2 linked regions of the Caenorhabditis elegans genome follow. The protein of the gene in region 1 purifies or fractionates together with the protein of each later gene. This does not show direct contact. Each region holds a gene or a part of one and is shown in the gene's direction. Other genes may lie near its edges.

What was found.
Region 2: the proteins of hlh-3 (region 1) and Y38A10A.7 fractionate together in Caenorhabditis elegans (co-fractionation; one large-scale study listed by BioGRID). This does not show direct contact.

What each region holds. Positions count from the first base shown.
Region 1 is NC_003280.10:9,084,558-9,088,505, forward strand, and holds hlh-3 (Helix-loop-helix protein 3), read left to right. Parts: upstream 1-2,050; 5' UTR 2,051-2,053; coding exon 2,054-2,248; intron 2,249-2,739; coding exon 2,740-3,057; 3' UTR 3,058-3,351; downstream 3,352-3,948. UniProt on the Caenorhabditis elegans protein: Probable transcriptional regulator. May mediate transcriptional activation by binding to the E-box motif 5'-CANNTG-3'. Plays a role in the differentiation of the hermaphrodite-specific motor neurons (HSN) that are required for normal egg laying.
Region 2 is NC_003283.11:6,094,482-6,097,897, forward strand, and holds Y38A10A.7 (N-alpha-acetyltransferase 40), read left to right. Parts: upstream 1-1,715; 5' UTR 1,716-1,729; coding exon 1,730-1,830; intron 1,831-1,875; coding exon 1,876-2,214; intron 2,215-2,265; coding exon 2,266-2,422; 3' UTR 2,423-2,612; downstream 2,613-3,416. Other genes in the region: smut-1 (Synthetic MUTator), read left to right, coding at 2,624-2,756, 2,804-3,331, 3,379-3,416.

The sequences.
Region 1 (3,948 bases):
TTAAACACATAAAACATACATTTGAAAGAAGATGTACGGACTGGTACCAAGGCCAGTGGGTCACTCTATTTCCTAATATCTACAGTTTTTTTTTAAATTCTTTTGTTTTATGTCAAACGGATTAACTGTAGGTTTTGGCAGCCGATCTTTAAGATTCGGTCTTAAAAAGATCATGTGTATCCTATTGCTTTCAGTATCCATTCAATGTAACAAAACTCTTTTAAGGTGGTTTCAACTAGGTTATATCCTGACCAAGGGTGTCAATGTCCCGTAAAAATTTCGAAAACGGGACAACGGGAATTCCCGTTCCCGTGAAAATTTTAAAAACGGGAAAACGGGAATTCCCGTTCCCGTGAAAATTTCAAAAACGGGACAACGGGAATTCCCGTTTTTTTGAAAACACTCAAAAACGGGACAAACTGGGCGGTTTAAAAAAAAAGAGTGCATAGTTGGCGTAAATTTTAGTGTATTCGAGGCAAATTATAAAAAAAACTGCATTATAAACATTTTTATCGATTTTTTCAATATTAAACAGATATTTAAAAAGCCAAAAAATGAGGGAAAATGTCCAGTTCCCGTGAAAATTTTTAAAACGGGACAACGGGAATTCCCGTTCCCGTGAAAACACCCCAAAAACGGGACAACGGGAAAAACGGGAAACGGGAATTGACACCCTTGATCCTGACTGTAATTTCAAAATTTAGATAGTTTCAATTTCACTCTTCTTAGGAAATGTATTGTCTCATAACTGTTTTTAGAAAGTCGGTACCATAAAAAGAGCACTAATCTCTCATTGTTCTCATTTTTCTTGGAAGCTCTGTTCATTTCCTGAGTCGGCTGCCAGTAAAAAAGAAGAGCTCAAGGGCTCAAGTGAGCGTGAGCCGGCAAAAAGCACTAGTCAATAACAGTATCATTAGGATGCCGGATAATTGACATTCAAAGCGGCTTTTCCTGCACTCTCCGGTCTTTTCCTCTAGTGTCGCAGTGCGTTTTACATGAAAATTCAAATAGGGCAGAAACAAAACCATAAAATGTGATCGACGGTTAGCACCCCTCATTCAATCTCATTAGGCCGCAGTTTTATGGATAATCAACTATTGCACTAAATGATATTTGTATTGGAAATTCATTAAACATATGAAATGGGAATTTGAGAAAGTGCAATGCTTCAGAACGACATGTTCTCTCCGTGTTTCTCTAACAGTGAAGCCATCGCTTATTTTACTTATTTTACGATCAGAAGAAATTTTCAATTTCAGCTGATTTTAAAAAATTTGCACACAAAACAAGAACCGGCCACATTTTAGATACTGAAAATATTTCTGAACTCAAGCTCCTGAAAGGCTGCTGTTGGTCTCCAGAATTTTTTTTTACTTTATACACGTTTCAATGGAAAATCCAAGGAAAGTTATAGAAACATGGAAGACATTACTACAGTATTACAGTATTCGCAGAGCGATCGTTCTGGCGCCATGGTACAACAAAGACAATCTGAAAAGTTCAGTCCATCCATGGTAGATGAAAACTTGATTTAGTGATTTTTTTCTTAATTTAAAATCTAGAGTATTTAGCACTCCTGTTTTTATTTTTTATTAACATGGTGACAGAATTGCAATCACATCAATAAATGTAGACTGAAACTTTTTGGTAGATCATAATACAACATTAATTAATTGATTGCAAACTATATATGTTCACATCAATATTCCCACCCTTCGTCTCTCCCCCAACTCAGCCCTCCCTTATTTGGTTGCCCTTCCCGACCCCGCCCACTTTTCCGCGCATTCGTGTTGTGTCTTCCCCTTCGTGATGTGGTGGGTCATTTCTCGTTTTCATTCCTCTTTTTTGAATTTTTTATTTATTTTTCGAGTTTATGGTTGATCATTTAATGTTCTTGCATTTTTCCATAGTTCTTAATCTCCTTTTCTTTATTCTTTTTCGTTCTAGAAAGTCTCTCTTAACGCTGTTTGTATAAAAATTAAACTTAAAATGTACTCTTATTTCCTTTTCCTTTAAAATTTCAAATTAAATTTTTCAACTGTATTTGCAGAATATGACCGCATCCACCTCCTCAACTCCATCTACATCCACCAAAATTCCGTCGTCAAGTAAGTCTTCAGTAACGAAGCAGACGAAGCAAAAGCGTAATGAACGTGAACGAAAACGTGTTGATCAAGTCAATCAGGGATTTGTTCTATTGCAAGAAAGAGTACCAAAAGCTGCTGGAAACAAGGCAAAGTTGTCAAAGGTGAGAGTAGTTTTGTGGTGTTTGGGAGAAAACGTGAAGCAAATTGTAAATTTGATTTGCCTAAAGGAGAAATTTGCGGTTTGATTATAGGGTTTTGATTATGTTTTGTGAAAAATTGAAATATATTATTTAGAAAACCAATTGGCAAAATGTTCTCGTATATAGGCTAATATCAAAGATTATGCAATGTTTTAGAATAAGCTGCCAACTTGATTATTTCATGTAAAATTATTTCAGCCTAGCTTTTTTTCGTTATTTACTAAAAATATTCAGAAGCTCCAGCGCAATGCTTTTTGAAACAAATTGTTCGCACTAATCCTTTCGTGCTTAAAAGACTATAACAAAAATTATTCAGCTCTGTAACTTAGAAAAATGTATATTAGGGTTTCATTTATCAATTAGAAAACCAAAATTAAATATCCAAATCATATTTGCAGTAGAAAATTATGAATAGATTTATTTAAGATTATAATTTATTTCTAAAATTTCAGGTCGAAACCCTTCGTGAAGCCGCCCGTTACATTCAAGAACTGCAGAAGCAACTCGGAATGTCTTCCACAAGTTTCCATAATTCGATGCCAGCTGACTTTCCAACTCCAGAACAGTCTCCCGTATATCCCCAATCTGTTTGCTCAATGATGGCACAGACTCCATCGCCAAGCTACACCTCTCCATACTATCCACCACCACAAATGATGTCCTCTAATCAGCATGATATGTCATCTCACTATTATCAAGAAAGCTCATCATCTTCTGCATCCACTTCTGGTGATCATCATAGCTTTTATTCGCATACAGAAACTTATTAATCTGTTAAGTTGTACCATATTTTCTGTTTTTCTCAAATAATCGGGTGATCCAATTCCTTTACCGTTTCCTATGTGTACTTGATAAGGTTTAATTGAAACAATTTCAGTTGAGTAGGTGCTCAGTATATTTCATTTCAAAAACTCTGATAATAGCCATAAATACTTACTTATTAACTATCTTTGATTGTTTTTTACGTCTAGATTAAATTTGATTTTCATTATTTATTGTACGATAGTTTTTTTGATCTCAAAACAGTTGTTTATCTAAATTATTCTGCTCAATCTGTGCAATAAATATCTTTCACATTTAGTGATACTTTTAACAATTCGAACATTTTGGTAACTAACTGATGGCAACCAAAAAAAGGAAAACTATGACGTTTGACATTTTTTGGTAGAGTGTGGTACCTATCTGCCACCAGCCTACTTGATAATTCGCCAGGAAATCACCATTAAACTCCGAGAAGGTCCATATTCGAATATTGTCTATAGGTTTAAATGTATGATATCTAAAAAAAATATGTATATTTAATAGAGAGGCAGAATTAAAGAAAAAGAATTCCTAGAACATAGGTTTCTTGTGCACCAGCTCCTTGTTTTTGCAAGTTAAAATAATTTCCTTTTTTTTTAATAATTTAAAAACTCTCAAAAGTCTTGAAAAAAGGTTGCCCCAATTTCACATTTTGATAAGATCTTCAATCAGTTAACAAATGTTGTCTTTCAGTATTTCCCATGTCAAAAGTACAGTGACATTTCCGTTCTCATTGTCTATATTAGCCAGGAATACCATTAATATGTTTACTTCATCTTCTGGGAAGACTTCTTTGCACTTCTTTTTTGTTGCATGTCGGGCCTTTTATGCAACGTAATCCCACCCGTTTATTCTTTTGT
Region 2 (3,416 bases), on another chromosome or scaffold:
TATTAACAATATTTCAGTAGGTACAAGAAGCTTCACGTAGTTACAGAAATAGTACATTTTCAGCCCTACCTTTTAGTGCGTATTTTATTAGTTAATGAAAACTACCATTAATAGGCAAAAATAGATGGATTTTCCAAACTTTGAAAATTCATAAATCTCTTCAAAGTAATTTTTTTTGAAATGACTTTCAGAAACTTTGTAGTAAATTTTAAGCTCTTTTAGAATATATTAACAATATTTCAGTAGGTACAAGAAGCTTCACGTAGTTACAGAAATAGTACATTTTCAGCCCCACCTTTTAGTGCGTATTTTATTATTCAAAAAAACTACCATTTATAAGCAGGAGATCCTCTGTTGACGTTAGCACACTCTTCACTATGCGAAATCAATTTAGAAGACTGCGTCTAAATTCCCGCAATTTTCGAAGATCAAACCGAGATGGGACATTCTGACACTACGTGCACAGTTGATCGTTTGTTAATATGGCCTGGTTTTTCCGCGTAGGTTTCGATGCTTTTTTCAGTTCATGATTGCACAAATTTGTTACATTTATGCATCCATCGAACGAAATTAAACCTAAATCAACAAATAAACTACCAAATATAGAGGGTAATTATTTATATTTATGAAAGTGGAGTTCAGGTCGCTGCGAGACTGTAAAGTTGGTAAAGTGTTAGATTCTGGCGGAACATTCCCTTTTTCCAAATCTTTGAAGCCTCCTAACTTCGCCTTATTGCGAGAACACTAAATTCTGAGAATACGTATTGCGCAACCTATTTGACGCGCAAAATGTCTTGTAGCGAAAACTACAATAATTATTTAAATGGCTACTGTAGAACTTGTGGCGATTTACGGGCTTGACTCTCGAAACGAATTTCAGTTTGAAGTATGACAGCAATTTTAATTTTCGTCCATTTTTTGAGACCCGAAGAACTCGGGGGATGTCCAATTGGGGGGATTACCAACTCGGGGGATTGGCCCCGCCCACAGAACCGTGGCTTGCAATACGCCCATTTCTGCCGCACGGTTTTTCATAACTGCCGCACGGTTTTAAAATTATTTTTTCTTGTTATTTCTCGCTCTATTGAGAAAAATACAGTTTTAAAACCGTGCGGCAGTTGCAGAAATGGGCGTATTGCAAGCCACGGTTCTGTGGGCGGGGCCAATCCCCCGAGTTGGTAATCCCCCCAATTGGACATCCCCCGAGTTCTTCGGGTCTCAGACTTCTGAACTTTTCGCATGGTTAAGAACGTGCTGTCGTAACACTTTTTGTATATTTCTATTAAACATCGTTTTTTATGCTGGATAGCTGTTTTATTTCTAATAATAAAAATTGAAAATATCTAACTAGCATTCAATTTCAGATGATACAGCGAAGAATGACCCTGAAAATATTAGCTAGGAGACATATTACAACTTAAAACATACGAAATGTAAATTTGTTTCCGATTATCAACAAAATTGTACATTTTAACGATATTTTTATCAATAAAGACTAATTTTTACATATAAATGTTAATTTAAAGCAAATCCGTGACTTGACGTGATGGTGTTTGCACACTTTTCACCACAATATACGACATTCAAGTTATATGCATTTTTTTCAAATGATTCTATCCTTTCTTTTCAGTATTCTTTACGGTTTTATTGATCAATTTGTCACCAGTATAATCGATCATGTTTTATTTCTCAATAATTGTAAAACAATTTTTCAGATATCGGCCCAAAAATGCCCGTAGACTCGAAAAAATTGGTCAAAAAAGCTTGTCAGCACATAAAACCAGTTGAGAAATTCGAATGCGAGACACAAAGAAGTACTACAACTGATGGGTAGGATCTTTGAATGATTTTCAAATTAATCTTTATTATTTTCAGCGAAACTATCAAATTCGATTACATGTGGGCGACACATTTGAGTGATGAAGACTTCGAGTGGGTGTTCAGTTTATTCAAAGAGAACATGTACGATATGTATCACAAATCCCAGTGGGGATACGATGAAAATTCCAAGCGAAACGAACTTCGTGCAACAACATCAAGGTTCATCATCGCGAAGAATTCGAAAGGGGATAAAATTGGCTATACCACTTATCGATTTGTGGTCGATCACAACATTCCTGTGGCATATTGTTGGGAACTTCAAATTGTACCGGCTTATCAGAACAAAGGAATCGGTGGCATGATGCTCGACACGCTGGAAAAGCTCTCTTCAAAGTACAGTTTCAATTAATTCGAGAGCCAATAAACAAAAACTCTTATTTTCAGGACAAACATGAGTAAAGTCATGGCAACAGTTTTTCTGTATAATGGACCGTCGCTCGGCTTCTTTCACAAACATGGATACAACAGCGACGTGACGTGCCCATCCGATGATTCTGGTCTGGATTATGCGATCCTGTCGAAAGAGACACCGAGCACATAAGAATATTAAATTCTGATTCTATGATTTTCTAATTTGTTATCATCTTCATTCTGGCTTAATTGTTACATGTATTTTTTTTTGGGTAAACAAACGTTTTTTATATTTCTACTTTTATAATATTGTGTCGTAAAAACCGTTACTTTTCGTTCAAATATTTATTTTCAAACCAAAATATAAACATTTTTGTAATAATCTTTGTAGATGCCTCATCCTTGGAACACTGCCGATGCATTAGACGATAGTCGGGTACAAGTTGAGCACATTGATTTAGTTCCTCCAAAGTATGCAAATGTACTCAACTTCAGATCTATTAAAACTAGAGATTATTATTTTGGTAAACCATGTTCTGGGCAATTAAATATTTCAATAACTTTTCTTCAGCAATGAGAGATCGTCATCAGCAGTTGGGCGCAGTCACATCTTCAAAAGCTGAAACTGACAAATTGAATAAACACTGTGAGGAGAACACGATAATGGTGGATCAAGACGGAGTAGAAACTCCAGCTGATTATGGAACAGAGAGGATGGTTGCACATGCAATAGAAGATCACCGACTTGCCGCCAATTTGCAACGAATAAAAGTTCATATTCTGAATGCAGTTCAACAAAAATCAATTCAAGCTATTCGTGACCGCCGAGGACTTCTAGTGGATGCTCCAACTGGAATCGGGAAGACTTATGCGTTTCTTATTCCGGCGATTGAAATTGCATTGAGGGAGCGACCATTGCTTACCAATATTTCAACCACGCCATCACCAACTATTCTTATTCTTGCAAATACCAACTCACTCGTTGAACAACTTTTTAATCGTTGTGAAGTTCTTCTTGGTTTGATAGATATGGAAGATATTATACCTATTCGAGATATTAAAATTGAAAAACTAGTTGCTAGCTATCAGTTCACAAAAGGTTCGTTACAGCATTCGTCTAACCAAAAAAAAACGAATTCTTTATAGATCAATGCGATATTGCGTTCTGTACGATGGGAAAGCTG